7 separate regions of the Mus musculus genome follow, and all the other regions are reported to be linked to region 2. The links are microRNA targets in miRTarBase. Many come from high-throughput screens and were not tested one by one. Region 2 holds a microRNA gene; each other region holds the end of a gene's coding sequence.
What was found. The annotated mature microRNA mmu-miR-758-3p reads UUUGUGACCUGGUCCACUA and lies in region 2 at 1,582-1,600, shown strand. An mRNA with a match to its seed (bases 2 to 7 or 8) in the 3' UTR can be bound and repressed. Matches are read on the target gene's strand: a 7mer-m8 pairs with bases 2 to 8, a 7mer-A1 pairs with bases 2 to 7 and ends in A, and an 8mer does both.

Region 1 (4,501 bases), not on the chromosome of region 2:
GGGAAGTCGAGTTTAAAGAGTATACTGAGACAACTGGGACCTCACACACCCCAGGGCGTTACTCCATTGAGCCAGAGCCCACATCCGTCTCTTTAAGGCTGAAAGTTTGGCAAATATTGTTTAATATAGCCCCTCATTCTGTTTAATCTATCACTGATACAGTTATCAAGTAACTGGGTCTGTTAAATGAGCAATTAAAAAAAAAAACAAAAACCTTAGAAATGTAAGGGGATTGAACTCTGACCGGGAGAGCAGATGTAATTCTAGGTTCCAGGGTGGAGAAGGAAATACTTCCCACCTGGAATCCTGATCCTATTAAGTTAGGATTTCTTTTCAAGTAACCTTGAGAAGAGAACTGGCTGCAATCGGCTACAAAACAATGAAAAGGACTCAGGTCCTGTGGATGACCCAGGGAAACAGCCACTGGGAGGGAAAAGGTGGACAAATATTTATTTTAACATGAAGACTAGGAAGATTCTGAGAGTAGAAGAGGGCACTTAAAAAAAAATCTCTGTGTGTGTATGTTGAGTGCAATGCTGGCATGTATGTATAGGTGTCGTTTGCATGCCCAACTCTCAAGAAAGCCAGATGGGCACCAGCTCCCCTGGAACTGGAGTTACAAGTGGTTTGTTTCATGCTGTTTGAGCTAGGGTCCTCGAAAGAGCAGCAAGTGCTTTTTAACTGATGAGCCATCTCTACAGTAGGAGGGCAATCACGCCAGACTAGCAGGTTTATAAGCTACTAGGTTTATATTTACTTTATAAGAGAATGCTCGCTTGGAGAAAACTGTCACTTTAAGATCTGTTCCAACAGTCTCTACTAAATTACTGTTGCCCACAACAGCAACAGTGGGGGACTTGGGAGGCAGAACCTGGCAGATCTTGAAGATTCAGGCCAGCCAGGGATACGCAGAGATACCATCACAAACCAGCAACAGCGGAGCTAGTATATGCTCTGGATAGCTACTTTCTACTATCTGGGCATATGCACAGAAGCACCGTGAAAGAGGAAGCGCCTCTTTTAGCTTAGTGAGGAAAATGCTTAAACAGCAACAGGACACAGTAAGGACTCAGCCAGGCTTGGTGGCACAATGTAGGATCCAGATCAAGACTTCAAGCCCAGCCCGGGATGAGTCCCAAACTGGAAATTCTAGGGAGCTGAGCATGAAGTGTAAACATGGAGGTTTGGAACCCAGGTTCAGTGGTCCACAAATGTCTTGGTTGTCCTGAAGCCTGAGAACCTAGGCTGGACAACTCAGGGAAAACCAGGATAAAACAGAGAACTCCACGGAACCTAGTGTTTGGTTAATTAAAATCTAGGACAAGCCAATGCCCCAAGTGTAACGGCCTTCAGCGGCTTCAATAGGCGAGCAAACCTACTGTGTAGATAGCTCCCAGCAGCTGGACCGAGGAAGAACTCAAGAACAGGGGCAGCTAATACACTGTACCACGCTGTATTAAATATCCTGATAAGCCAGGACTGTCAGTGTTCGATAAACCAAGCCCTGGCACCGGAAGTGAAACAGAGGTTCCCATTTGCCAGGAAATTCTAGCAGCCTAGTCACCCAGAGCTGAGGGCAGCCGTGAAAGTGGCCAGGCCCAACGCAAGACCTTAAAGTATCTGTGTCTTATTTTGTGTCACTTGATAGCATGATCCTTGAGTCTGAACTGTTAGACAACACTGCTTTCAAAATGTAAGACCTAACATGAAACTGGGAATTGCCTACTCTGGAGCAAGAACTTTCAAGTTAAAGGCCGGACACTAGGACCCCGTCTCAAAATATCTCGTCAACGTGACTTCATCTTAAAAGCATAAGTACAGATAAGCACATTTTGTCCGTAAACAAGAACCACCCCCCTTCCCTTTCTTTTGATAGAGAAAGAAGGAATGAAATAGCACTTAATTTTTGAGGTTTTTTTTTTTTTTTTGGGAACCACAAAGAAACAAGTCAGAGGAAATCTTATAAATGTTAGGTTGATTTATAAGCGCTGCCTGGCAGTTACAGTCTGTTTACAGTGAGTTATCTAACCGAACATACTATACATGGCAATTAGAAGTCATCATGGCAAGAGAGAAACCACAGTTGGCCCGCTGCCGACACAAACAACCAGAAAACTGAAGGGCAACAGGCTGGGATGGAGGTGGGGGTGTGTTTACTATAAAAGAAAAAAAAAAAGACTATTGGCTTTTTCAGAAGGAAAGTAACAGTCTGCTGGCAGAGGTGACACTAGGAGACAAGTGTTTTAACTCTAGGCCTGTCCTTAATTCCCCTAAGAGCCAAGTGGAGGGAGACATTGAAACAAACAGGCAATTCTGTAAAGTTAGAAACCCTACAAATCTGATTAAAATCTAAACTTGTTTTGCTTTTAAAAAACTTAATATATCAAAAGGCCCGCTTTAGTGACATGCTAATCCCACCAAAAAAATAACCCCAGTAAACCCCCACCCACCCACCCATCAGTAACAGTGTTCAAGTTGACCAGCCAACTCATACTTCTAACTCGTGTGTGGAGTAAGTATACGCATCCCCTAAACCTAAGCCTGGGGACAGGTGGTGGCAAGCAGTGGCATCCCACTGGCTACCTGTCCAACATCTGCTCCTGCAGAGTGGGCAGGGAAACCCTAAGCAGTAATGAAGCTGAGACCCCAAGATAACCAACTTTCCCGGTACTGCATCCTCACCCCTACCTCAAGGGAGCCTCACTTCTAAGCCAAGCCCCTCATCACTCAAACTTGGCACCCAGTGAATAGGATGGTTCTCTCAATTAGAAAGACATACATCCACACATCCATATATATATAACTTTTTTGTTTTTAACATTTAAATATAAAAATACTACTCTGCTTTGTGTTATGAACGGAGGACCAAGAAATGCCAACTTTTTTCTTCCTTCACAGTAGGGCCATCCATCAGGTGACGCGGTGAGCTGTGTTCACACAGAGGGGGACGGATGCCCCCTCCCCCAAGCCAAGGAAGCACAGCGCAAGAAACCAACCTTCAACTCCTCACCTAACTTCCATTTGGAACAGAAAGCTGGTTTCCCCTTTAGAAATAACAGCTCTCTACCAACAGTGGAAATGTCAATCTCAGCCGTTGGGCCTGCCCTTTCAACTATCCTGAAGAAAAAAAAAATGTCCTCTTTCACCATAAGTACACCCGCTTTGTGACAGCTATGCCTACCGGACATGCATACCCGATGAGATGAAGCAGTGGGTTACCCTTCCCCTCCCCCCTCCCGCTCCCTACTAGAAAGCTAGATAGGAAAGAAAGGGTTGGTGTGTAGAGATTAAGAACCTGACCCCTCTATTCTGACCAACAAAAGCAAGATTAACTGGGCACGAGGAATAAAAAGACCTTGGTATTCCATCCTTTTGAGTTACAGTGGGGACAACTGGGAAAGGGAAGAGCTGGGAGAGGGATCACTGGAAGTCTAGTCCACTTAGTTCTTGTATTGGAAGGGTTCGTCGCCTGTTTCGTTGAGGAGACACGTGCGGACGATGGCTTCTGTCACCGCATAGGGGTCACAATTGGCAGAAGGCCGACGGTCTTCAAAGTAGCCCTTCTTCTCCTGGCCGACAGTCCGGGGAATGCGGATACTGGCACCGCGGTTGGCAACACCGGCAGAAAAGTCGTTGATGTTGGAGGTTTCGTGGAATCCAGTCAGACGCCGGGCGTTGTCCAGGCCCCCCTTGGGATCGTAGGCGCGAATGTGGTACTGGTGCCTCTTGCTCAGTTTGTCAATGGCCTCCTCAATGCACCTAGTGGAAACAGTGAAGATGAGGGTCCATCGACAAGGATGGGAGCGGGCATGAATCCCAGAAGAAAGAAGGCACTGTCTCCCTCAGGCCAGTCTTTAACATGCAGTGCAAATTATCCACTGGATGGAAAGACCCCCAATCACTCGCCTCTTCCCACCAGTAAGAATTAAGTTTCCCATTTGCTTGTATTTTTACTTAGTTCGAATGCTTTTCTGTCAATTCTATTCCTAAAGTATTTACCCTATCGCCTCTCCAACAGGCACAAACTGACAGGCTTAGAACAAATATGCAGAGCTAGGCATGTACGTACAGCCTTGTGAGTACCCAAAGCCCTTCTACCCCATGAGAATACAGACGGCTCCAAAGGAAGGTACTTACTTCAGACCATTCTCCTCCCGCATGGCCTTGGTGCTGAAGTTGGTATGGCAGCCTGCACCATTCCAGTTCCCTGGAATGGGCTTGGGGTCAAAGGTTGCTATCACCCCAAAGTCTTCGCACACCCGATGCAAGATAAAACGGGCTATCCAAAGATGATCTCCCATTCGGATCCCCTCACAGGGTCCTATCTGGAATTCCCACTAGAGAGAAAAAGTTGACCTTTAAGATCCACCCTCTGTGATTGCCCCACTTTGTGATCCACCCCTGCTAGCCCGAAGTCCCCATGTGCCTACCTACCCAGGTCTTCAGAGAGGAGGAAAAAGATGGGCACCATTTACCTGGGCAGGCATAACCTCCGCATTTG
Region 2 (4,501 bases):
GGAGAACTTGCTGAAGATGCTGCTAGCCTCAGAGACAGGGCTCTGGTTCTTGCATCAGCAATGACCTCACGGTACCTGAAGAGGGATCAAGCAAACTGCATGTGTATTATTAACACCATTTGTAACCTGGCCTACTCTTTTCAATATCAACTTCAGCTTTGAAGGTTTCCAAAGAGGCCCCATTAACCTTGGGGGTGGGGGGGCAAGGCAGAAGGACAAATGCCTTGGGGTAGAGGTTGTCCATGCTTCTTGCTTTACTTACAGCGCATGTTAATTTGGTCCACCTTCCCATAATAGTGAATGCGCCTTGGGGGCTTCCTGTGAACAATATTTCCTTAAAGGCACAGTGCTAGTTACGGGGTCTTCTCTTCGCGTCCTTGCAAACTTCTCTTTGCTATATTCTCTGCATCTGCAGCAGGCAATGCATGGTGGTCTCTTTTCAACATTGCATCTAGGGTTTCCTGGAAGTGATAATCATGAGGAAAGAAGCCAGCTCCTGCACCACCCTCTCTCCATGGTACCTGAAAAGATGGTTGACCATAGAACATGCGCTACTTCTGTGTCGTATGTAGTATGGTCCACATCTTCTCGTTATCAAAGTCATTCGTGAGGGTTTTCCAGAGACCGAGCCAACTTCATGGGAGATATCCTGTCCTGGCTTCAGCACAGTACTTGGGGAGATGGTAGACTGTCGAGTGTGTGCGTTAATTCCAGCATGTACAGCATGGTCCACCACATCTCTGCATCAGCCGGTCACCAGGGGCTTTCTGAAAGCCATACCAATTGAGAGTAGGGCTCAGGCGGCAGACCCTATCCAACACAGATTACCCAGTGCTTGGCTACAGGCCATGTTCATTACCTACGACTCTGGCCATTTGATCCAAAGCCAATATTTGGCACCCAGCCCAGCCTTACAGGGCATCCTGGAAGTCATAGTGGCATTAAACATGAGTTTGTGGCCATTGCCACACATGCCGATTGCTGGTAGTTTGTGACACTCATTGAGAAGGCATTTTGGAGGTAACACCAAATTAAGTAAAGTGAGCTGGAATCAGCCAGCGTTACCTCAAGGTATTTGAAGATGCGGTTGACCATGGTGTGTACGCTTTATTTATGACGTAGGACACATGGTCTACTTCTTCTCAATATCACATCTCGCCTTGGAAGACTTCCAGGAGGTGACATCTGCTTTGAGGAAGAGCCAGTGTCCCGGTCTTCCTACTGCTGCTGCTTGGTACTTGGAGAGAGGTGGTCCGTGGCGCGTTCGCTTCATTTATGGCGCACATTACACGGTCGACCTCTTTGCGGTATCTAATCCCGCCTTGCGAGCTTTCCTGGAGCTAACACCAGCTGTGGGGTGGGGACACTAAATGTGTGTGCTAGCGCAACCCAGCCAGCGGGTTTGTCTTTTCTTGTGTCTGACAATAACTCTTGTGTGGCAGCCTTCTTCTCAGCAAATTTCTCTGGCTTGGCAGCTTCGTGGGCAGGGTGACTTGCAGACCAGGAAAGTGGCATCGACATGTGATACACGTGTGGGTGCGTGAGGTGGTTGACCAGAGAGCACACGCTATATTTGTGCCGTTTGTGACCTGGTCCACTAACCCTCAGTATCTAACCTTCCCTTGGAGAACTTCCTGGAAGAGATCTCAACTTTTGGGGACAGAGGCAATAAGCCAGCTGTACGCTGTTAGACTTGGAGACAGCATCCTCAGTACTTGCAACATATGTGCCTGTTATGGTAGTATTGGATGGGCTTCCAATGCTGTCCTATACTTGGATCCCTTCCTTGATATGGGGCCATCCAAGTTCAAGAAACGTACCATGTTGTCAGACATGACCAGGGTGTGTGTATGCCATTTATATATGGCACAGGTCGCAGGTCACCTTAGCACACTTGCATGCTAAATCTGTGGGAGGAATCATCTTTGGTTTGGGGGCATCTGTGCCTTTCTGTGGTTACCCAAAATGGTGGTAAGTCCTATAGCCAGTCTCTACTGCGCCACTGCTCTCTGGTTGTGACATAACTTCAGGATCATGCCATGGAGGTCTGCTGTACTGGGGCATGTGATGGGATGGCTGTCAGATATATATCAACTAATGGCTTGCTTGAGCACTTTGACTAACATCCAGTGTGCAACCCTGCATTCAACAGGCCTGCCAGGTCTGAAGGTCACGTTGGGGAATTACCGAGGTAGTCTTGTCAGTGTTCGCTTCTGGTACCGGAAGAGAGGTTTTCTGGGTCTCTGTTTCTTTGATGAGAATGAAACACACCCAGCTAACCTTTTTTTCAGTATCAAATCCCATCTTGGAGGCTTCGTGGTCCAGATCCCAGTCTCAGGGAAGGATGGTCCTGTCAGCATCCAGCCAGGGGACAGGAATAACTGGTTCTCCACAAAGCCAGCGAGTGGATTATCGTTCTGAATGGTGTCCTTTGTCCTCTAAACCCTCCCAGGCCTGCCAGGTCTGAAGGTCCAGTTTGGGAAGGTGTCATTGTTATTGTTAACTGAGGATGTGGAAGAGGGGTTTCTGTGTTTGAAACACATTTGGTCAACCTCTCTTCCCATCAGAACAAACTATGGAGGCCTTCTGGTCCATACCTCAGCCTCAGCTGAGGACACACTAATAGTTATGAACAAGTGAGTGACGGACAAAACCCATCCCATACATCAGATTTCTGTTGCCTGTGCTTCTAACCTTCAGTATCTTGTCCATTCTCAGGAGGACTTCTCAACCAATATGGTGTTCCAAAGTTGGGGAAGATGGCAGCCACCGAGGCAACTCTACCCCAGGTCATCACAGGTAGGTTGCACCCACTTTGCTTCTAACAGGTTAGACACAGCCACCCCCACACATGTCCAGCATGCTTTGGAGGCACGGTGATGGGCTTTTAATCAGCCAACCCCTGCTATAGGACTGTCTATTGTAGAGAACACCCACTGTGTCAGATGGTACCTAGATCCATGCTATTCACACACACCCACATCCTTGTAATAAGAGACTTGGAATCAGCAGTGTTCTAGCAGTAGGAAAGCAAACCTGAAATTGGCACACACATTTGCCCAGTGAGCTTTAAGATATGAAATCTGGAGCGGGGCAGTGGTGGCGCACGCCTTTAATCCCAGCACTTGGGAGGCAGAGGCAGGTGGATTTCTGAGTTCGAGGCCAGCTTGGTCTACAGAATGAGTTCCAGGACAGCCAGGGCTATACAGAGAAACCCTGTCTCGAAAAAAACCAAACCAACCAACCAACCAAACAAACAAACAAATAAACAAAAGATGTGAAATCTGTTCTTAGTCCTTAACTCCACCCAGGGTTGTGGTCAGCAGTAGAGCTTTCTGTGGGGTTCCAGGTAGAACACAATTCTCATCTGCAAATCATGAGCCCTTTTCATAGGCATTTCATATCAGATATCTACATTATGATTTATAACAGTAGCAAAATCACAGTTATGAAGTAACATTGAAAATAATTTTACAGTTGGGGATTACCCAACATGAGGAAGTATATTAAAGGGTCACAGCACTAGGAAGGTTGAGAACCACTCGACCAGGGGGTGGAACTGCCTGCCCCTGCCTGCTGCTTCTTTATACTACCACATGTGCTGGCACACATTTACCTTCCTACTAACTTTATAATGTGTCTGCTTTTAGAATCTTACCTTCCCTGGAAACTACCCAGACTCACAACCAGAGGGCTGGGTCGCTTCTCATCACCCACCTACCTCTTGGAACCAGAATCCGAGGCTCATTCCTGAACACCCCCAATGTACTGTACTTGTTGAAGTTGAGAGCTACTATTCCCCTGTTATCTCCTGAGGCACAATTTCTGGGGTCCCTGGTTCCCTTCAGTGACCCCCCCTAAACCTGGAGAGATAAGGAATGCAGGTGGTCTGTGTTGTTGGTAAATAGTCTCAGGCAATTCTGTGGACTGTCAAATTGCACAGGGGTTTTGGTTGCTCTCCAGGGCCCACAGAAGCAGACACTTCTGACAAGGCACCTGGCACTTTCCAGCTGCCTTTGTTTGCTTTCTGACCAGTGCTAATTGATACTTGAAGGAGAGGTTGTCCGTGTTGTCTTCTCTTTATTTATGATGAAACATACACGGGAAACCTCTTTTTTAGTATCAAATCCCACCCTGGGGGCACTCCCTGTCCCTGATGACGCCTTCAGGGAAGGGACCTGGACTGCTGTTCCCTGGACTCTGGGACATGGGACATGGGAGTATGGCATCAGGACTCAGCCCTGGAAGGAAAGTCATTTGAAGAAGGGACAGGGTCCCCGTGGTGGCCTGAGGCTACTCCCTATGGCTTTGGACTGTGAGGTGACTCTTGGTGTGTGATGGCTTTTCAGCAAGGTCCTCCTCACAGTAGCTATAAGGACGTGCCAGCATCGTGACTGAAGGGACAATGATGCCCACTGTTCTCGGGGTAGCTGTGTGGATGGTAGACCGGTGACGTACACTTCATTTATGCTGTAGGTCACCCGTTTTACTATCCACCAAC
Region 3 (4,501 bases), not on the chromosome of region 2:
AAGGGTTTTGTATCTGGCTGTCTACCCCATTATAAACACCGAAGAATGGCATTGTATACAATAAGCATTAATCCACCTTCAATAAATAATAGCATCAATAAGGATAATACAAGTTATTACTTGTGTAAGTGGCTAGTCATTAACAAAATAATGTAATGTTAAAATTATAACTCTAGCTAAATGCCAATAATATACAATATTTGAGTCATATTTGCAGATACGAACCCAAGGAAATATTTCAGTGTATCAAGAATTAGAAAAAGTGGGATTCTGAATTTTGTGTTCTTAATTATAAGTCCATTCCAAAGTCATGAGGTAATTTTTTAAATTTGTTCCTCAGATACAGGGTTAATCTGGCTGGGATAGGAACAGAAAAATCAAAATCTCCCTATTTACATTAAAATTTTGTCATTTTTATAAGACTCTCATAAAATACTGGAAGGTCAAGAGAAATAGAAAAAATCCTTCTTACACTGTGTAAACCATTTTCCACTTGACGATATCTAGATGGCATTTGTATAGACACAGAAATTACAGTCTTACAGGTAGGGAAATACTCCTACTGATTGTTTGATTGACTATCAACCATATGAGGGGCTCTGTTAAAAATTCTGTGTATATTTTTTTCTGGAAAAAAAATGCATGACTAAGAGCTAGCAAGTTGTTAGTCTCCTCATCTTTTAAAGTATTTTAAATAATTTAATGCTCATACAAAAATAGTGCAATTTAATATTAAGAATATTAATATCTCTTTACAGTTGCCACATACAAATGGTAATACAAATTTATATTATCTCGTGGAATATATATTTATCAGTTAGTAGATATCAGATATAAATACATGTGTGATAAATTAATAGAGATCACATATAGGTATTTTAATTAATAAATGTAAACATATAGCTTTGACAACAAAGTCCTATAATCACATGAAGGGATATAAGCCATTACTTCTAAAGTGGGACGTTAATGAAAAGGGGTTTACATATGTCAGTTTTTCAATCCTGCTTCAAATCTTAAGCCTTTTGAATTAGTTGGCCAAGGCATCAAGGGAGCTTAAGGCAGCTTACATGATGCTTCAGTTTATTTAACATGAAATCAGTAGAAAGAGGCTTTGTCTGTGCCAGAATACAAGACATTGATTGTAAAAAGGCAGCACAGTTGATATAATTTTTCTTCTATAAATTTTAAAATTTCAGTCCAGTGATGGAGGTTAATGGAAGGCCTCGATGTCTTAACGTCACGAGGACTTGCATGTTATTTACTGGCTACTGTGACTTTTCTGAGAAATCTTCCTATAACTTACATATCATAGAGTAAGCCAGAATTAAAAATACTGTTGCGAAAATATTATACTACTGTCAATACATTACAGAAATTTAATTTTGTACATAACTAAAGATATACAGCGATACACAATGAAAACAAGATCATTTCTACTTGGAACAAGAAAGTAACCATATATAATTAAGGTGTGTTCAGGTAACCACCTCATATGGCAAAGATGAAAGTACTGTAATAAGAATTGGAGCACTGGGTTACTCTGTTAGCTCAGGGGCCAAGTGACTTTGTAAACAAGTAATGAAATAGCTCTCATTTTGTTTAATAAAAAAGGTATATAGAACAAAAGTAAATAATCAAAGACTTAAATTAAAAATGTTTGACAGATCATACCTTATTTGAAATACAAGCCAACAATTAATAATTAGTAGGAAAATACATGGCAAGGGAATATCTACTGAGAAATAAATATTCAGTTACCTAAAATATTGGTACACCTTGGAAGCTATAATATTTTTCACATCCTTTAAAGTTTTACTCATATTTTATTGCTTTTAATTTTGTGGATAACTGTAACTTGAAGAATATACTTACATGGTTTCATAAATAACTTTGTTTCTCTTGATAATAAGTTGAAAAATTAAGACTATTAATTTCAGCAATGAAAAAAAATCCATGGAGATATAAAATGTTACTGCACTGAAAAGAGAAGGATAGTCCTGAAGTCATAGTTTTCTTCAAGCATGTATGTACTTGCATGCACAGATCCACTTCAAAGATTCCTAAGGCATGGGGATTTTCAGACCTTGCTAATACGACTATGGTTGTAATTGGGATAAAAAATATCGGCAGAAACTCAACTGGGTAGGAGAAATAGGATAACACATTTTTTGCTCAAGAGTTTTTTGTTTACTCATTGTATTGTGGGTAAACTCCATCCTTGGAGAAATTATCAGTCACTGTACTTAATAGTTTTTCTACAAACATAAAGAAATCTTATTACATGCATTTTACCTAGAAAGTTTTATTCTGAGGCAAAAACACAAGCACGTTGTCTTTCCAAGTTCTGGAAATTAATAAAGTGATATTGGTTTACAATGAGTCTTTAAAGTTTTGATTCCTTTCATGTAAGAAATAATTTGCAATATAAATCTAGTGACTGTGATTACAGATTAGGCTCAGATCTAGTCTTGAAACCTTTTGGCCCAGATATCACAGTATTGGTAGTAGGAAAAGAATTTGAGTATTGCAAGATGAAATACCTGGTAGAATACTCAGACATTGCTGAAAGACATTGTTACATGAGTGGACAAGAGTACATTTTTTTTCATTAATTTCTCTCCCAACAAGTGTTCAGGATTGCAATGTGTTAAAAACACAGATTCCAATTACACTGAGTGATTCGTGTGTGTGATGAACACAGGACTTCTATGCACACACAAATAGAACCAGCCTTTTCCATATGCAGAGAGTATACTGAGGTGATAATCACAACATGACTGAATCACAGCTTAGAATAATTGATTGAAACACTTTGAGAAATGTTTTCATTTTACTTTTATTGAAGTGAGCAATAATCTTAAACTTTCTTAAAAGGCACCCAAGTATAATTATCTTGTGAACCAAAAATATACAAAACTGTACAGAATAAATAGTTCATAGAAATCTAGTGATACCTTCTTGTAAAATAAAGCTACACTGTCCCTCTCCTGAGGAAGCTCAGAACACTTACCTGTAGAAACGCCTCTTGCTACTAATCTACACGACCTATCAGTGTATGTCAATAAAAATAAAATAAGTTTTACTATTCATTTTATACCTTTGATTTACATGCCACAAAAGACATGTTTTCTTATCATTATCATCCAGTTGTACAAATAATTAACACTATGAAAAGAAGCAAACTTACTAAGTGCTCTAATCATATATACAGTAGAATCTCAGTAGCATTTAAAAAAAAATATCCCAAGAAGAATAGAATGTCGAACACAAATCACATACCTTAGGTTCACAGCAGCATTACATCAAAAGATATCCACAGAAAATGTGTAGATTAAACTCACACATTTGCTTATTTATCCCACAGGAACTATTTGCCATCGTGAGTCTGAATTCAGAAACCTTAGCAATGGCACCCTTTGTTGAAAATTCGGAATCGTTAATGGTGCACGTAATTACAAATTGTACATTTTCACTTACTATTGCCACTTTTTAAATTTAAGTTCCAGTTCCCCTTTCACTTTTTGTGAGAAAATTTAGTGTGATTGACAGTATAAATTTCTGACATATATGTGATTATGAATAAATTCCTTACATACTATGTATATATATACAGGTATATGCTTAACTGATGAAATTTAATTGTATTTAGTCATGAATAGAGTATCCAAGAAAACTGGAGCTTTTTATGTGTTCAACCCTTTAGGTGTGCAAGAGAAATTCTATGAAATACTTGTAAGCATATGGAGCAATACTACGTACTCCTTGCAACAGTTATATGCAAGGACTTGTTTTATTTGGAACAGGCTATATTGCCTGATGATAATGCCATGGCTTCCTCAATTGTCCCTGAGTTTCACTTTCTTCTTTCATCTCTCATAGGATTACGGCTGTGCTGAATTCTGATTGATAACACCCACGTAAGGCACTTATTTCAAAAGTGTGAACTTAAGTCAGAATCCCAGCATTTCTGCAAAAGCCCACAAGCAGCCCCTCTATGTTTGCTGCTCCAAGACTTCTAAGTAGTCGGGTTCAGCATGCAAGTTAGCTTTGAGCTCAAAGTATTCATTTTTAGTCTGTTCTACCAACACCTTCCTTGGTCGTGAGTACATCAACGTTTCCATTAATTTTAGCTCCTCGTGGGCTCCAGGATAGTTAACCTCCACCTCTGGCTGGAGCTGAGCAAGATTTTTTCTTAGGTACTCTGTGATGCCAAGTTGCTGAAGTTCCCTCTCTTTCTCCAAAATGTTCCTATATAATAAGCTTGCATCCTGAAAGGATATGAAATCTGTTGATTGGTCTGTAGTTTTGTATTTCATATTTGAACCTGTGAGTGGTGAATGATTTTCTCGTTCTAACAGGCTCCTTTGAAGATGTTTTGCATCATTTCCTTCTTTATCATTTCTTTCCTCAACTTCTTCCAAATGCTTTGGACCAAAGGATGGACTTCTGTAGACATGAACCATTGGGCTCACCATGTGTTGTTCATAGAGAGAGGAAG
Region 4 (4,501 bases), not on the chromosome of region 2:
CTGTATAGATGAGGCTACTCTCAAATCTACAGAGATCTGCCTACCTCTACCCAACCACTCCCAAATGCTAGGATTAAAGATGGTCACCACCACACCCGGCCAAGTAGCCTTTCTTTTAATGCTGGGAAGTCAGTTTAAGCTACTTTTAACTGTATGCATAAACATACTACATGTCTCTCTTGTAATTCCCGTTTAACAGATCTTCAGGATTTATTCCACAAGACTGGTCAAGATGTGGATGGGATGCTGACCTACCAGGAACTCTGGAACTCCCTAGGTTCTGCCATGCCAAGACCAGAGAGCTTGAGAGCATTTGATTCGAATGGAGATGGAAGATACTCTTTCCTGGAACTAAGATTAGCTTTAGGTATCTAGTCTCATCAGGTATATTTGAAACGGATATGTAGCCTGGACTACCTAAAAATCTACTTAACTAAAAAGACAGAAAAAAACAAAAACAAAAACCTTCTTGACTAACTCTTCAGCCCTCCAGTCCTTTATACTACTATAACAAACACATTGTCACCTTTTAACTTGTTTGAAAACACTATTTAAAAAATTATTTTTTTAAAAAAATTTACTTAAAGTATGATGTTTAGAAATCTATGATTTCATGAAGCCAGTGAGATGTTGTAACTTAAAGTTGCCAGGAAAAAAAAATAAAGCCCTCTTCTCTCTTTCCTGTTTTTTGAGGGGAAGAGAATTTACCTTTTAAAGCTGGAAAGTGTATGTATATAGAGATAATAAGTCAGTTTATATTTCATATGAATTTGCCTTAAATTAGATGCACTTTATAGAGCCTCAGAATATGTCTTTTCTTTGAAAGATGAGTCTCTTCTGTTTGTAAATATATAAGATGAAAGATTGTGCATAATGTGTAGAAAGACGATTGGCTTTGAATGGAATGAATGAATGACTTGTTATGAGTAACTGACAGTCTGCTCTGGGTGGCAACTGAACCTCTTCACACCTCCTTAAGGCAGCCCTCAAATGCTTGGGCACCACCATAGGGTTTGAAGCTGGGGCATCAGTTCAGGTATGGATGCTGTGCAGAGGGTGCCAGTTCCAAACTCAGGAAAGTCAGATTCTGGGCCACTGCTCCTATTCCTAACCTAAGAACCAGAGAAGTCTTACTGGGATTTTCCTCATTTTTAATTATCTTTCAAGGATTATGAGCGTAAAAGTTACTCGGTGGGAAATTATATGTTTTCCCCTCAAGAAGTGGGTCTTCTCTGCCCACCCACTCTAGACTACCTTAAAGTTGTAACTGCCTACCTTCAGCACCATGTCCAGTCAGAAATGGGAAGGTTCATGTCCTTGGCTGCTATCCCAAACTAGTTGCCCAGAGCACTAGAGAAAAGCTCTGAGTACCCTTTGATTTTACCTTTAGGATAACCAAGAATTTGCTCTATTTCTTGGCAGGATGCCTAAAGCCAAAATGTGGTCTGATGAAACAGGAAATCATATTCTTTCTTCCTAATTGTTCACTCAAAAGGAGCTATGGGTTTTCTGTCCAGAGGATACCACATGGAGCAGGCGTGCTTGGAGCAGGAGCCTTCTGGTGATGGGGCTGTTTTCCCAGGTCTAAAGAGCATCTGTGATGCTTCCGCTTACATGCTTTGTGGGCAGGCCAGGACAGGTCTGATAGGAGCAGATCACCATTCGCTGACATGTTGAGACACTCCCAGTGCTCTTAGGCGTCTCTGGCAGCTCCAGCAGAAGACCTTACAGAACCGCAGGTTGCTGTAGCCGTCAGGGAAACACTGGAGAAGCTGTTGTGATGGCAGGGCTTCTTTACTAAAGATCATTGCTGTTTAATTTCGATCAAGTTGCCCTGTCAGCTATAGATACAGTCTAGTACCTTTAACCTTTAAAGACATTTGGTTTTCGCTTTGCTTTGCCTTGCTTTTTATATTTTGTTTCTTTTATATATGATATTCAGCTTAGTGTTGGCTTTTTTTTTCTCTAGACATTAAAACTCAGTGAAGGCAAGACAAGTTTTCCTGTGCATGAGTCTTCTTAGCTCATGTTTCTCTCTCTTTAAATTTTTTGCCTTAATGTTTGCCTTGCTCATCTATGCTGTCACCTTCTTGGAAAGGTTAAAAATACAGTTCAAACATTATCCTGGCTCTTTAGGTAACTCTTGTTCTCCTGGCTGCCTTCCATACTAAACACACACACACACACACACACACACACACACACATCCGTACAGATTTTGTAACAACCAAATAAAGTTCTAGCAATAAATTGAATTATTCTGCTATATTTGTATATATTGTACCATAAATAGTATGTCTGTACCTGGAAGGTTTTTCTTTTTTTCTTTCTTTCTTTCTTTCTTTTTTTTTTTTTTTTTGAGAACTGATTTATATGAAATATACTGAGGGTAATGTAGCTTGTCCTTTTTAGTTTCAAGTTCTCATTTGTAGGCAGATACTTTCAAGACACCTTAACTCTTTGTGGTATATGCTTTTCAGTGAGGAAGCAGGATTTGTTTCTTGGACTTTCTTCTGGTTTTTCCATGTCAAGAAGCTTGTCTGCCAGCATCACCCCTGAGCCATGTGATGTCTCTTATCAAACTGACCAGAGGTAGCCATAACTGCCCTCTGACATTCTATACGTTTCTCATCCTGACTATGGCATTACCAGATCTAGGCAGAGGTTGCTATCCTTTGCTAGAAATTGGACAGACTCACTGGCTTAGGAGCCCCAAAAACCTATCAATCGGTGAAGATTGGGTCTTCATTTGTTTATTGTCTTACCTTGTGCATCCAGTGCCTTGTGTTAGTCAAGCTTCACCAGCCACAGATCACCTCTAAGAGAACTCAATGGTAGTGGTGGTGAGTTTGGCTTTGGATTTCAATCCTTTGGCCTTATCAGTCAGTAGCTAAGAGTACTTCCCACCTTAGTTTCTTAAAGTGTTACCCTTGGTCCTTTGCTTTATGTACCATCTACCATAATATTTACTGAAAGACCATTCACAAGCCAGTCATGGTAGTACATACCTGTAATCCCAGCCCTTGGGAGACTGAGACAGGAAAGTAATGAGTTCTAGTCCAGTCTGGGCTCCATAGTGAGATCTTGTCTCAGAAAAGTACCTGGCTTAAATATGACTGTAGTAACATTCAAGGAGGAGCAGAGCAATGGATGCTTGGCTCTTAAGAATGGGTCTAATGCAGAAGAGCTGAGGCAGACAGTCTCACTTCACGACCAGCTTGTTTCCCTTCCATTGCAGTTTGCTCTTTACCATTGCTGGACAGCCCCATCAGCCCCCTCCCTGGTCCCAGCGTCACAGCTGAAGGTTTTGACTGTGATGGGCTCACACTTATAATGGCCTATTGAGTTGTTTTTAGTGACAGCTTTTGTTTGCTACACACCTCATTGGCTTGCTTACCAACCATCTAGATGTGGTCCCTTCTCTCATATTCAAGCCAGAACACATTTGGGTATTCCTGAGACTAGAGAGTGTGTATTGTTTGTTATATAAACCTAACCTACCTTGTTGTTTTCTCATATTAAGAACGGTAAATCTACTTTATATTAATGGAACTATTTTGGTAATACATAAGCAATTTTGGTTTTGTTTAGAGTGGATTCAAGGTTTCCATGACTTCATTTGAGCTTTACTTACTTCCTATCAATATAGCCATTTTAATTTATCTAAATAAAACATTACGTTTCTCTCACTGTGTCTGACTAGAATTTTCCCTGCTCCCCTGATAATTAAAGGGGGAAACCTGCTTTAATCTTTATTTTTGTGGACTGCTTGCTACTTCCTCTTGAAATCAAGGGCTATTAGTTGGAGGTACAAAACAATATCAAGAATCTGCTTTATTTTTGCCAAGTAGGCACCTAAGACTAACAACAACAGCAACAACAAAAAGCAAGAATTGTCTCTGCCACTGGTTGCCCACCAGACCTCTCTCTTAAGACCTTTGCTGAAGACACCTCATCCTCTGTTGACAGGACAGAAATCAAGCTGGAACTGGGCGGGAGTTTCCTTCCTGATGGATAGCCATCATAATGCATGAAGGTAGTCTGCAGGCTGCTGGGGTGGGTGGGGGGAGAGCCATCAACTGTCATCTGTGGATCCTGTGTGCAATACTGCTGACCAGACAGGCAAGGTGTACCCACTGGTACAGGAGTAGCAGCTCTTACAGGGATAACCAAGCAGTTTCTGTTTGGACTTGAAGCCCACTCCACAACAGGAAATGCATGACTCATTTCGTAATCCCAGTCAAAAGCCTGTGGCTAGGAAGGTCCTAGGCCATACCACAGAGACCCATAACCAGTCAAAGTGAGGGTTGAATGGCCATCCATAAATGAGGCATTTATATATCCCCTCCAGGTTCAGGGAGTATCATAGAAGAAAGGGCAGACAATATAGGAGCTGCAGGAAGTCGGGGAGTGGTATAGAAGTCTGACTTTAAGCTGGAGTGGCTCTTAAATTCTCAAACCCACTGTAGCTGTGACTACCAACAAACATGGTGGGTTTGAA
Region 5 (4,501 bases), not on the chromosome of region 2:
TGAGTTCTAAAGATGACAGAAATGATTTGATGTGTCCTTGGGGTCTGATAGTTACTGTCTTCTTAGCTATGAAACTACTGGATGATGAGATAACTCAGAGTGAATTTTTTAATACACTGCCTAGGGTTTCATAAATACTTAACAAGTAAGCTTGACATGTGAGCGAATGGTGAAAGTAAGGCTGCCTGCAGATATGAAAGCTAAGAGCTATAGTGTACAAAGGGAGGGCCAGCTCTGGGAGGTAACGAAGCAAAGTCATCGAAACACAGATCACTCTAAACTCTTGTCCTGTTGAAGTATCTACAGGTCAGTTGTCGAGGATTTGTTCAGTGGTCTCTCAGGATGCAACTTCTAAAAGTCCATGTTGTGAATCTGATGACAGTGTTTCTTTTTCCTTTTCTTAGGTTTTTGCCTTCATGACAACAGCTTGTTATGGTTGCAGTTTGGGTCTGGCTTTGCGAAGATGGCGACCGTAACACTCCTTGGAAACTGACAGTTGTGTGCTGGTTTCATTTGTCTACTTTATATGTCTGATCACTTGGGTACCATTTGTCCCAATATAACATTCCAAACATTGTTAGCTTAGTACAGAGAGGACCTCAGTGCAAGCTGTGGTTTGTTACATGGGTGGGATTTTCATTTTGTTCTGATGTTAGAGAAGTATCCTTTCCTTTTTCATCTCTCGTTTCTTTTTAAATGCATTTCCATTGTATATTCTTAAAATACACAGGCACTGTTCACAAAACAATAGTATTCCTTTTTTTTTTTTTTGGTTGAGTCACCCGAACCTTAATAATAGTAAATAACTAAAACAATACATCTCATGCAGGCTTCTCATCTAATTCTATCTTTAGTATAAAACAGGAAATGATACACATGTTTTTTTTACAAAAAGGCCAGGTAGCACATATGTAGGCTTTAATAGGCCATATAGCCTCTGTGGCAATTGTTCCATCCTATGATAACATAAAAGCAGCTACAGATGATGTGTAAATAAATGTCTGTATCCTAATAAAGCTTATTTCAAAAAGGGAGCAAAACTGGATGTGGTCTACAGACCATAATTTTATCAACTACTGCCATAAAAACCTTAGGTGTTCTGTGTTCTATTGAACTAATCATGAAACCTCATTAGACAAGCCACATAACATATTTTGTTTCATTATGCATCAATCACATTGCCTTTGTTTAATAGTCAAATATTACCCTTGGAAGGTCATATAATTTCTCAAGCTAACCCCAGCAGAGCCTTGGATGAAGAGCAAAATAAGGTAGGAAATAAACTCCAAACTAATGATTTCCTAATAGCTCAGCAAGGCACTCACACGAGAGTACTTAAGACATGATCCCCAGAGGCAATTAATCACTACTGGATCTAGTATCTTGCTACTGATGTCTTTCTTTTGGTTTATTTATGCCATAGACTGTGGTTGTTTGGCCTATGCATGAATATATAAATATTTATGTATGTAAAGCTTTTCCAAATAGCTCTCTGAAGAGTTGAATTTTTAACTTCTTATTGTTTTTGCATTGCTTTCTGAGCTGAATTTGAGTAACAGATTAACTATAACATAAAGCTATAGATTCTTACATGCTTTGATAATAGCCCAGATATCTATGTTGTTTTTACATTGGTGTCAGACAGGCAAAGGACATTTAACACAAGAGCTAAAACAAAAACTGGATCTGGCTGAATAGAACAGAAAACAATCCTAGTCCACCTGTATGTGTCGCAGGCTTGGCAACAGATCATGAGTGACCACAGTTCCCACCGCATTCTCATACAGGCCAATTCCCTATTGTTTTAGTAGGGCTGCCTTTGGAAATGGAGGCTTGGGAATTGCTCTCGAGCTGACCCATCACCTAAGAGTGCCATGTATGGTTGGAGTATTGGACTCCCTGGAACATAGTGAAAAACATGAATGAATAGCATCAATGCCCAGTGTTCAAGTGCTGTTTATCTAATACTCCCCCAGAAGAAGAACCAACGGGGACCTCAGTTTGTAATACAGCTGAAGACGAGATGTATTTCTATATGTAGGTTGAAGAAATCAGTCTTATGGCTTTCCACTCATGTCTTAGCTCTTCTAAAATGCCAGACTTCCCTCCTGTTTTTCCAGCTCCAGACCACACACTGAAAAACCTGTATTATGAATTATATACTATGAAGTCACAAATGTGCCATAAAGATACATTGTACGTGGAATCACTAAAATGTAGTCCACTAGAATTTAGTTGAGATTTTTGTTTTCCCCCAGGTGTACCAAGCCATGCTCAGTGTGGTATTAACTCAAATGAATTCATTCAGATGTATTGGTGGTACTTTTGTAAATGTATGGCTTCTAGGTTAGCAAAAAGAAAACTCAAAGCTGACTAACTGTGAATACTTAGGTCTGTAGATTCATTGCATTCTAGATGTTGTGAGCTGAGCGATGAAGCACTTGAACAAAGACGAAGGTGTTTAAGAATCTCTCTACGTATCTTAGCTGTAAAAATGAAAAAGTGTTGGCTGGTCTTAAAATCTGATAAATTTATTTTATAAGTGTTATGACTCTAATAAAGTATTCATTTGATAACCTTTTGGGTCACTCTTTTTTATTTTATTTTATTTTTTTTAATGCCATTCACTTTAACATTCAGTTAACTATTTAGTAGGAACCAGATTGAAGTTCCAGACCGATGAATGGGCTCTGTTTCTGATAGTTCTGAGTAAAATGGATCTCTCAGAAAATATCAGTAAGCCTTTTCTGGGGTGAGCATGAGAAGGTAAAATGAGAGGGAAATTGAGGTGAAATGTGTACTCTGCTGTATTTTAAAAGCATCTGGCCTGTCTGTATACTGTGTATGTCAGGTGGTGTTTAAAGCATTTTAAAAATTATTGTCTCACCTACAACTCATTAGAACTACTGGAAGGCCTAGATACCATTACCTTATGTTAAAGATTAGGGGCCTAAAACACATTGGAGGACAGCCAGAGTCCTCCACTTACCATGAGAAAGCAAAGCTTCAGAGACTTACATTTGTCTCTTGATTTCTCTGTAAGCCTCCATTCTCCCAGATTTTTACCTCCTTTGCCCTTCAAAAAGTATTTAGCAGAGTGTTTAACCACATAATCATATCTTGTCTTAGACTATTTTTTGTCCTAAACCAGCCCCCTGATTTTAATTAAACTAATATAGACCAACCACTAGGGGCAGAGGCAGGGGATATGGTGGTGCCTCTAATATCTAGCTCTGGTTTTGATACCCAGAACCACAGAATGTGGTGGCATGTGCCTGCAATCCCACCAGCCAGGAAGTGGAGGCAGAAGTAGCAGAAGCTTAAGGTCATCACTGGCTTCAAAGTAAATTCAAGGCTAGCCTGGAGTATGTAAAACCTTGTCTCAAAAAATAAAAAGAATTTCAGGTCAAACCTGCATGAAGAGAATACTGTTCGGCAGCTACAGTCCGGACAGACACAGGAGTTCCTCGCTGCTCTGTTCTTTAGTCTGTTCATCTTGGTATGGAAGGGGCTATGTTAAAGGGGCCAGGAGACACTTCAGTGAACTTCATTATCTCATGCTGAGTCAGCTAATAGTTGGCCAGATTGCATAGCAATCCCTAAAACTGATCTGGACAGACCTTTCTAATGTGTGATGACCAACATCAAAGTCATGGAAGTGGACTGACACCGTATGCTTGTTTGATGGATGTTGTGGATAAGAAAATGAGGTGAGATGTATAATCTGGGGCTGGTGGTCATAGGTCCTAACTGTTATCATGAATACTGCACTTTGGTTTTCCAAAAGAGATGATAGTTACCCCATTTTCCTTTTTGTAAACATGAGTCCATGTTCTTTCCTAATACAATATATTTTATTTTTTTGTTGTGCACCTTTACCTCAAAAGTTAGCTGAGAAAATTTGAAATTTTCTCACATAGCATGGGCATAGTTTTCTGGTTATATTACGTTTAAGAAGAGGCAAAAAATAGTTCTTTCAACAGAAGTATGAAAAAGGCAAGTTGCTTATTTGCACCTCCCATATCACCCACTAAAGATCCTGTAAGTCTCTGAGCAGGTCCCTGGGAAAGAGGAACCAGAGTTGAGTTGGTTTGGGAGGTAATGACTATGGGAAATGAATATAAGTAGGAAGGTGTCCTGCTCCACACGCATGGATGGCTCTAGTGAGGGCAGAAGGAGTCAGCTCAGGTAGGAAGACCCTCAGCCTGAGCTCCTCTGAGAAAGTCTTCCTGAGCTAATCGTGACCTCCAGCATCAAGATAGGCCACAGAAAAGTCTCAGATTCGTAAACTTGGCAAGCCCTGTTCCATCACCATGACATATCGTTGGCAATTCTCTGCTCATTGACTCAAACCCTAACAAAGATTCTATAGGCCCTGGTAGCTAGAAGCTGTCAGACTGAGTGTGGCTTCTGTGTATGGGTCTTGGCTGGAAGTCTGAAGAGCATGCATTCTAACTTCTGCTTTTTGTCCCTTCTACTCAGTAAATCCACTTCTCCATAC
Region 6 (4,501 bases), not on the chromosome of region 2:
TCTTGTGCCTGTGTCCATTGATCCTCTCCCACAGCAACACTTCAAGGAGCCCATGCCTCACTGTCAGCGTCCCCCCACTTGTAGGATGCTCCAGGTCAGACTAGTGGGGGCTGGGGTGTGTGTGGCTCAACTCCTGAAGACAACTCCAAGACTCACACGAGCCCTACAGCCCAAGAGGGCATGTTTTTCCAGGGAATTGGGGTGCCCGCAAAGTTACCACCTCCTTGACTGGCCTCCTGCAAACAGGTTATTCTTTAACTCAAGACTGTCAACAGCCACCTACTTAAGTAACTTCAAGGGCTGGGGACAGAGGTTTCAGGAGGATCTGAGGGCTCAGACCCCACTCTTCCAACTGGCCATGTCGTTCCAGACCCTCGGGCCTAGAAAGCCACCATGGCAAACATCTGGTCTTCTCCCTCCTGCCCAGAATCCTGTCAGAACTCTGAGTCTAACAACCAGCTCACGGCCTCAGGGCAGGGGTCAAGGACCAGAATCAAAGACTAGAAGAGGACATCTCTAATCCTTTCAGAAAATTCCCACTCTAACCTTCCCAGCTTTCAAAATAGATAGATAGATATAGATAAAAAGCAACCAAGAGCCAACCTTATTGAACAGAGGTTTAATTAGGCCTCAAGGACTGGCCCTGATAGCTGTGCTGCCAGCTGTGGAGGTGGAAGGACACAGAAGGATCTGCAATCAAACCATCCTGAAGCAGAAGCCTTGGTACTCTTCCTAACTCATGTTAAAGACAGGATGTAAGGCCTGAGCTGCTCACAGGCCCATCTCCTTGATGCTTTCATACACATTTTCTAAGGGCCCTTGCTTCATATCCTGGCCCCTGAGATTGATGGCCTCGTACTCCACATCACTCCCAAGCGGCAGACTTGTTCTCCCATCCTGCAGGTTCAGCTGGTCTGTGACGGGTCTTGGGTCTCTTCTTTTAGGCTTGCAAACCCTAGAGTATAGGACGTCCATCTGGAGAGAAGAGACAAACCCAAGGAGGGCTTGGCATTGTCCTCTGCCGAGGACGGGCTCAGCTCCATCTAACCTGCCCTACCCAGGCAGACGTTACCTGAGTAGCTGGGATCACCTTAGCCTTCTGCTGCAATTCTTGGCAGCCTTGCTCTGTCCCTTTGTGCTTCTGGATGCAGGCATATTCGGCCCCAGGACCAAGCCTGGCACAACTAATGGTCAGCTGTGTTCCAGCCCACACCACAGGGCTAGCAGCCAGGCTGGCCCTGGGAATTGCAGCCAGCCCCACATTGGAATAAGTGGCCTCAGAGCTAGTAGAAGGTGCAGTTGCAGGAGCAGCAGGAGGGGCCCTGGGCAGCTGCCGTGGTGGGAAGGCAGAGTTGGGTACCTGAGACCTGGTGCTGCCCCTGGACATCTCTAGCCAGCGTGGATGCAGAAGATCCATGCTAGCAGGCCGTGGGGCTAGGGATGAAGTCAAGGCAGAAGTCACTGAGGGGCCAGCTCTAGTGGTGGGAGGCTGAAGCCAGCCCTACACTTATGGTTTCCCAGGAACTCACCTATGCTGGAGCGTGGGCCTCGGTGCAGCTCATGCAGTCTGGTGTCAGACTTGCTGAGGGAGCAGAGGTGGGTCTGTCTCAGCAGTGGCTAGGGAGCAAGGAAGGCTGGTTGATTCCCTGCTGTCTTCACCCTGGCCCCTGGGACAGTCTGGCACTCACCATTTCCACTGGTACCAAACTGTCCTGCAGCCCAGTTTGCTGCCTCTGAGCTCTCTTCCTGGGGGCAAGAGTGTTGTTAGTCTAGTAGGCAGAGGAAGGTGCACAGGTAGTCAGATGCTGGCCCAGGCTCAGTGTGGAAGCACATATAGAGCCGTCATATGGACTTCTCTATCGTGACTTCTGGCTCTGAACCATGCAGGGTGAGGGCAGACAGAATCCCAGGCACATACCTGTGGCAGGCTGTGCACAGTGCCCATAGCCAAAGGAGCAGGGAGAAGCAGCCCAGGACCCAGAGAGCTAGTGGGGCTGAAGGCACTGGTGGCCTCATCCTGTGAAACAGGGAAGAGAGCCCTGGGGACAGAAGAGATGAGCACTGGGGGCTGGCTGCGAGAGCAGTGTACAGCTGCAGCCTACTTGCAGATCTTGCCCACTAGTGGGTTCCTTCTCCCTGGTTGACTCAGCACACCGGAAACCCCCAAGCCTTGCATTTTTGCCGTGCTCTAGGGGGACCCACCTTTCCCTCTCTAGCTAGGGTTCCTGGTAAGAAGTGCTCTGCCTATCCCTGTTAGTTATCAGGAATGGAGATGGAGATAGAGGAGCATGGCCAGGGTAGCTATGACCTCAACTGAACAAGGGTGTATAACTGGAGCTCAAGCCCATCACCTGGGGAATCTCTGACTTCACTCTGACTCTGAGCCACAGACCACAGGTCTCACCTCCGGCCACCAATGCCCACAGAGTGACCCCTGTGTCAGGCAATCTTCCTAGACTACTCACTACAGAAAGGGTGGGTGGGGGAGGTGTGTGTCAATGAACAGGAGGAGCTGCTATGAGGGCCACGTACTCCCACCCTACTCCACACTTCCCGGGGCTCTGGGGCTTCCCTGGAGTTACCCTTTGCAGAGCTGATTAGGGTCTCACCCAGACGTTAAAGGTAAGTAAAATTGGGGTGAACAACAGCCTTCTGAGGTGAGGGCCTGTCTGTTCAGGCTTGGAGTGTAGGCTTCTTTCACTGAGTGGGCCCAAGCTGACTAACCTGGCTACAGCCAAGTTATCAATGGCCTAACCAGGCAGGGACTAACCCTCCCAGACCCCAGAGCATGGAGAGGCTTGGGGGCTGGCCCAGGATAAAGGGTGAGGGAGCACTTACCGAGGCCACCGGGGATTTGCTGCTTGGCCCTGTCTAGGACAGCCAGGAAGATCTTTGTGGGCTGCTGGTGACGCCTCACCTCACTTCCTGTGTTTCTCAGAGCACCTCCCAGCAGCCACACAGCTCTTGCGCAGTTGCTCCCACAGTCTCTGCTCTCCTCACACCTCATCATGGCTAATGCTATCACTAGGCAATTACCACAAAGACCAGCACAGTCCCCTCCACCCCAATGAGGCAGATACCCATTAATGAGGTGAACAAAGCAGGTGAACTGGATGGATTATCGTGGCAGCCAAAAACCAGAAATGAACCCCAAACCCACCCAAGCCAGGTCTGCCTGCTTTTCTCACTGACTGTATTCCTAAGGTGTTTCCATCTCACACACCCTACCTGCTTGTGAGTACTGGGACTGAAGAGCCACCTTAGGTTCTTACCCACTTGGTCAGAGAAGGGAAAAGGGAGAATGTTTTTCTCTTGGACTCTTGGACCCTAGACAGAGGCAGTGGCCTCATTTGGTACTCCCACTGCCCACCTGTCTACTCCCAGGACCTACACAGATCCCTGTGTCCCCAGAAATCCTGAAGCCAGCTGAGTCTCCACTGAGAGAATTGTGATGAAATCACTTTAATGTCCTAAGGAGACACCCCAAGACACTGGTAGGTGGGCTTGGTGGGCAGATAAGTGTTCAAAATCAGCCCTGATGTCCCACCTCTACTCAGCAGTGTTCACACTCTAGGCTGACAAGGCTAATTAAGGGGCATCCTAAGAAGGGGCTGGTTCCTCTTCCAGGTGCTGTTTAGGCATCAGGGTGACAGCTGTCTTTCTGCCAAGGCAGTTTGGAGCTGGGTCCCAGGGCTCTATCCACAATACAGGCAGGGCCGCTAGAACTCTGTCATCTTCCTGTGAGTGTCTGCCTTCCGCTGTTTCCTCTGTAGGTCAGCCTCCTGAGCACGCAGCTGACCCAGCTGCCGCTGGGCTCCCTCCAGCTTCTCCTGCAGATGGGCTGTCGTCATATTGTGCCTAGGGAGAGCCTGCTGGTCAGCATTGCCTCCTGGCTCCCCACTTCCAAGCCCTCAGCTGCTATAGCCAATGCCTGTCCTCTAATATCTAGACCACCTCAGACTCAGCTGCTACTCAGGTCAGGTAACCTTTAGCAGGTATCCTCTGGGCATAGCCACTGGAGCCCATACTGCCTCAGCTGGATCCCACACATACCGGCCAGTGTTCCGGGTTAGGGCCTCCTGGATGCCCCGGATGTCCCGTTGGGTCCGCTCAATCTTCTCCTCAGTCTGGAAGAGCTGCAGGCTCAAAGCCTGCTTGGCGCTCTTGCTGGCGTGATACATGTCTTTGTTCCTTCTCTCTGGGGTATCCACCCCAGCATCTGGGGTCCCAGGAACCTGGCTTTGCAGTTTTTCATTCAAAAAGTCAAACACATTCCGGGGGGGTGGGCGGCCCTCAGGTCTACTACCACTCCTCCGGCATTTTGGAGGCCTGTTGGACCCAGCCTGGCCTCGCTTTGTCTTCTTCTGCAGTATCTCTGCACACTGGTCCAGTGATTTCCCTCTAGGCAACACTACAGCATGGATGGGCTCCACCCGGCCTTCTGCATGCCGGCCCAAACCTGAGAAAGACAGAGGCTGTGCTACCTGCTAGACCTTGAGCT
Region 7 (4,501 bases), not on the chromosome of region 2:
TTAAGGGAACTGGATCGGGAGGACAAAGCCAGCGATGATGAGATGATGACCCCAGAGAGCGAGCGGGTCCAGGTGGAAGGGGGCATGGAGAACAGTCTGCTTCCCTACGTCTCCAATATCCTGAGCCCCGCAGGCCAGATCTTCATGTGCCCCCTGTGCAACAAAGTCTTCCCCAGCCCCCACATCCTGCAGATCCACCTGAGCACGCACTTCCGAGAGCAGGATGGCATCCGTAGCAAGCCTGCCGCCGATGTCAATGTGCCCACGTGCTCCCTGTGTGGGAAGACTTTCTCCTGCATGTACACCCTCAAGCGCCACGAGAGGACTCACTCGGGGGAGAAGCCCTACACGTGCACCCAATGCGGCAAGAGTTTCCAGTACTCGCACAACCTGAGCCGTCATGCCGTGGTGCACACCCGCGAGAAGCCCCATGCCTGCAAGTGGTGCGAGCGCAGGTTCACGCAGTCCGGAGACCTGTACAGACACATCCGCAAGTTCCACTGTGAGTTGGTGAACTCCTTGTCGGTCAAAAGTGAAGCGCTGAGCTTGCCCACTGTCAGAGACTGGACCTTAGAAGATAGCTCTCAAGAACTTTGGAAATAATTTTATATATATATATATATAAATAATATATATATATATATATACATATATATACATAGATCTCTATATAGTTGTGGTACGGTCTAAAAGCAGTCTTGTTTCCTGGAACTGAAAAGTTGGGATCTTAACTTGTTTTTGCACTTTAGAATAATAGCATGAGAATCTCACTAATTTAGCATTCTGATAAAAGAAACTAGAGCAAGTCACAAGTAGAGAGCTGTCTTTCTTTTGAGGGTTAGGCCAAGTTAGCCAATAAAACCTTCTCAACAAATGGTTCTGTCACAAACGCTTTCACATGGCTTACTTTTGTACACACTGCATTGTCTTGAGCGCTTTCCCTGTGCTCCACACTGTTTTGTTTTGTTTTGTTTTCAGAGTAGAAATCCCCTCCAGTTTATTAGCCTCTTTATATGTCTCAAATTGCATGAATATTTTCTGGCTGTTGGAAACCTGAATGCTTTTAGACCCAAATGGAAAATTTCTGAAATGCTGGATTATCTATTTTTAAACAAGCAGTTGACTTAAAACTTTGTGTGGCAACTTCTGGTTTTCTGATGGTCCCCAGTGAGAGAAATCTGACAGTACACTGGGTCACTGGGACTGTCTCTGTGAAGGTTTGCTTGAGATGAAAAAGGATATTGCAGCTTCAGCAGTGTTGAACTGTGTGTTTAAAATGTGAATTACTGTTCTTGTATACTGTAATTGATTACACGGGCTGGGGGGGGTGTCAAAGAACTTGACAGGTTGTGTTGATGCTCTTAGTTGAGTCTTGAAAAGTAAATATTAACGCTACAGAAATGCATGAGTTTCAATATATTTTTTGTCTTTGTTTGCATTGTATAACTTTAACGAGTGAGTTTAAAATTATTTAATTTCCTTAGAAAAATAGCACCATTTGGGAAAAAAACTGGTGTTACGAAGAACATAAATGCACTGTCTTTATTTTTATTTTTATTTTATATAATTTAAATTGACTTTTCCCACGTCTTTAAGTTTGAAACTGTTAAGCTGAATAAAAACTTAAGCTGCAAATTGATAACTTCGCTACATTACAAGGAACATATAAATGTTTACAAACGGCTTAAAGAATTGCATGTGCAGTGTGCATTCATACCACACTTGTAATTGCACAGAACCCATGCCAGCTCAGAGTTTAGGTGTACACACGTACCCAGCCGAGTGTTTTTAGAATAACTACTGCACAAATTGACAATAGGTCATAGGTCATTCTCTCTCTCCCTCCTTTTTGCTTCCCCTTTCTTTTTCTCCCCTATTTCCTTTCCTTCCCCCTACCCCCTAACTCATGAAAAGATTCTATGGACTGAAAAAGCCCCAGGCTGAAAGGACTGAACCGCCTTGATTGACATGGGGAGGGGGGTTAGTAGACTGTGTATCGGCAGCAGAGGCTGCAGCCCGATGTGTGGTTCTGATGGCCAGCGCGGGGCAGAAGCGTTTTGCACACTGTTTGTTTTCCTGTCTTGCACTTACAAATAAGGTCTATGGGAGTAGCATGGGAAACAGTGGTTGTTTTTCCCTTTTTCTTTTTTAATTGCTTTTGTTTAAAATTTGATCGCCTTAACTACTGTAAACATAGCCTATTTTTGTGCTTAAGATACTGAATGGAAAACTCCATTGTGTGTTGCTGGACTGTTTTGGAAATATTTGGTCAAATGTATGTTAATTTGGCTGTAATGGCATTTAAAGCAAACAAACAAACAAACAAACAAAGCTGTGAAAATGGCCTTGGAGCATTATCTTTAGTTACTTGAAGAGTTTCTAGTTTTTTTTTTTTTAATACAGTTTATGTTAAAATAATCTTTATTAATCTAGAGGAGACAATCAATGTCTGTGGAAGAACGGACTTTTTTGGATTTTCTTTTTTAATGGTCATTGTGAGTGATTGCTCTTTCTTTTACTTAGTTTCACATTCTTCCTTTGTTCTAAATCTTAGACTGACATCTAGCTTTGACAATCATAGTATGTTTTATTTCCTGAGGGGGAATAACTTATAATGCTGTTTAGTTTTGTACTATTGGTGTGTTGGTGAATTTTTAAACTGTGTGCTAACTGCAATAAATTATATGAACTGAGAATTCCTTGTGTGCTTTTTGTATTATAGTCGCACAACAGATTTGGAGTTAGTATAGTGCATGACGTCTTCATTTTAATGTCAAGTTTTATTCAGCTTATGAAGTATTAGACTGCTTTAGGGTCACCCAAATGGAAATGTGCACATTCTCACTATTTAAGGAGACACTAAATGCACATTGAAAAATATAACCCATCTCTAGTGTAGATCAAGACTGTTGAGATAATTCCCTAGAAATTATAAATGCAAAGAACTTGAAGTGGCAAAGGTAGGTTTTCATAATACAACTACTAACCCATACACAATACAAGTCACTTTTCATGCGAGATTTTATCCTAAGTTGATTGGTCAAATCCATTCTCCCATGTTCTGGCTTTAAGTGGAAAATTGAAGGAGACCGGATGTCTTAATTTGGAAGACTGCTTGGCTAATGAGTGGAAGTCTAGGCAATTGAATTAGCAGGCATTCAGTTGTTCAAGATGAGCTGTGTATGTCTGTTCTTCTTACCAGCACTCAAAAGATCTTAGTGTTTGAGTTCAAATTTTAAAACATTTAAGTAATGCACCATTAGAGCTGTCCTTCCCCTTTGTCATTGCCCCCTCCTCAATTTTTTGCCTGTCTTGTTGGGTTTGTGTCTGGTAAGGGCTGACTGACTCTTGGAATTCACAGAACACATGGATATACAAGGACTTCGGCACACTGGCCCTAGATAGCAGTGGGGCCCAGGTCCTGAGGTTGTATAAATACTAAAATCTTCAACTATCCATAAATCCTAATCCTACAGACAAATATGGAAATAATAATTTTCCATTACTACTGTCAAAGATAATTACACCAAAAAGCCCACAGTAAGATTAACTTTTTGGTGTGTGTGTGTGTGGGAGGGGAGGTGTCCAGAGTATAAAACATGCCATTTAGAAGCTCTTCGATGGCTTTGGCTAGAAACACACAAGATTTTTATCATAGAGTACAATAAAAATTTCCAGCTTGGAATGATACATTCTGCTTTTAATGGAGGAAATAATACAACTAACACACCTCAAAATTGGCTTTAAACAACTGAACATTGCACATGAAGGGGCAATTTTCATTTGGTCTCTACATAGCTATTCCCTGAGCAGCTAGCTAGTGAGAGACTCTTCCCATTTTCCTGTGAGTTAAAGCTTTCTGAAGAGACTGAGGGCTTATGTATCATTCAGTCTCATGATTGTCTTCATTTTAAGTGAGCACTACCCTAGCAGGCTTCACAGGATAGACTCAACAGCATTCTGACTATGATTTAGAAATAACGTATTACAATACCGCACAACAGGCATAGAGTGTTATTACACAAAGGGTCACATTTGGCATGTGATGCACAAGAATCCATTGTTCTCCACTGCACTGAAGAAAGAAAGTTGTCATGCAGTCCGGTTGGAAACCTGTAAAATCAGGCCCTCCTTTGACATCTGGCTGATTCCTAAATACATGCTAAAAATATGGTTTCACTTACTTTTGAAAACATCTGTTTCTTTCAGATAATCAATTAGGCCCTAGATTGCTGTGGGCCCAGCATTGTGTGCTAGCTGTACCCTGGGGAATAGTCAAGGAGTAGAAGACACTAAGGAGGCCGGTTGGGGATTTCCTTCCTAGTTAATTATGCTATCAGATTAATAGGTGAACCAAGTAGAGTTTACCCTTAACGGACTTCACGTGGGCCTCTAAAAACAGGTTTTTGGAAGGTTAGAAAAAGATGAACACTATTTAAAATGATATATTTACTCACATTAAGTATTTTTAAAAAATGCTTGTTTCCCCAAGTAATTTTTT

Region 1: the mRNA of Glul is a reported target of mmu-miR-758-3p. Seed matches in the 3' UTR shown: 8mer at 3,162-3,169.
Region 3: the mRNA of Slitrk6 is a reported target of mmu-miR-758-3p. Seed matches in the 3' UTR shown: 7mer-A1 at 3,524-3,530.
Region 4: the mRNA of Efcab14 is a reported target of mmu-miR-758-3p. The part of its 3' UTR that is shown has no 7-base or 8-base seed match.
Region 5: miRTarBase lists Mal2 as a target of mmu-miR-758-3p. Seed matches in the 3' UTR shown: 7mer-A1 at 738-744 and 8mer at 2,170-2,177.
Region 6: the mRNA of Zgpat is a reported target of mmu-miR-758-3p. The part of its 3' UTR that is shown has no 7-base or 8-base seed match.
Region 7: miRTarBase lists Zbtb18 as a target of mmu-miR-758-3p. Seed matches in the 3' UTR shown: 7mer-m8 at 806-812 and 8mer at 882-889.

What each region holds. Positions count from the first base shown.
Region 1 is chr1:153,907,122-153,911,622 of GRCm38, reverse strand. Glul (glutamate-ammonia ligase (glutamine synthetase)) reads right to left here. Exons shown (of 7, transcript NM_008131.4): 5 at 4,476-4,501; 6 at 4,138-4,337; 7 at 1,900-3,759. The coding sequence ends at 3,441. Among named protein-coding and RNA genes, the nearest start is that of Glul, 9.4 kb to the right of the region's middle.
Region 2 is chr12:109,711,277-109,715,777 of GRCm38, forward strand. Mir758 (microRNA 758) reads left to right here and starts at 1,534; the gene lies at 1,534-1,614. It overlaps Mir380 (microRNA 380), which reads left to right and starts at 527; the gene lies at 527-587. Mir1197 (microRNA 1197) reads left to right here and starts at 1,041; the gene lies at 1,041-1,160. It overlaps Mir323 (microRNA 323), which reads left to right and starts at 1,232; the gene lies at 1,232-1,317. It also overlaps Mir329, Mir494, Mir679 and Mir1193.
Region 3 is chr14:110,745,756-110,750,256 of GRCm38, forward strand. Slitrk6 (SLIT and NTRK-like family, member 6) reads right to left here. Exons shown (of 2, transcript NM_175499.4): 2 at 2,823-4,501. The coding sequence ends at 3,996. Among named protein-coding and RNA genes, the nearest start is that of Slitrk6, 7.1 kb to the right of the region's middle.
Region 4 is chr4:115,773,639-115,778,139 of GRCm38, forward strand. It overlaps Efcab14 (EF-hand calcium binding domain 14), which reads left to right. Exons shown (of 11, transcript NM_001368627.1): 11 at 200-3,755. The coding sequence ends at 375. Among named protein-coding and RNA genes, the nearest start is that of Tex38, 5.1 kb to the right of the region's middle.
Region 5 is chr15:54,600,267-54,604,767 of GRCm38, forward strand. It overlaps Mal2 (mal, T cell differentiation protein 2), which reads left to right. Exons shown (of 4, transcript NM_178920.4): 4 at 405-2,580. The coding sequence ends at 476. Among named protein-coding and RNA genes, the nearest start is that of Mal2, 31 kb to the left of the region's middle.
Region 6 is chr2:181,379,732-181,384,232 of GRCm38, reverse strand. It overlaps Zgpat (zinc finger, CCCH-type with G patch domain), which reads right to left. Exons shown (of 6, transcript NM_001048148.1): 5 at 4,054-4,459; 6 at 3,440-3,858. The coding sequence ends at 3,720. Lime1 (Lck interacting transmembrane adaptor 1) reads right to left here and starts at 2,998. Exons shown (of 5, transcript NM_023684.2): 1 at 1,919-2,998; 2 at 1,689-1,746; 3 at 1,530-1,617; 4 at 1,073-1,434; 5 at 605-975. The coding sequence starts at 2,016. The coding sequence ends at 772. It also overlaps a transcript of Zbtb46 not described here.
Region 7 is chr1:177,448,069-177,452,569 of GRCm38, forward strand. It overlaps Zbtb18 (zinc finger and BTB domain containing 18), which reads left to right. Exons shown (of 2, transcript NM_001355099.1): 2 at 1-2,696. The coding sequence ends at 603. Among named protein-coding and RNA genes, the nearest start is that of Gm29856, 5.8 kb to the right of the region's middle.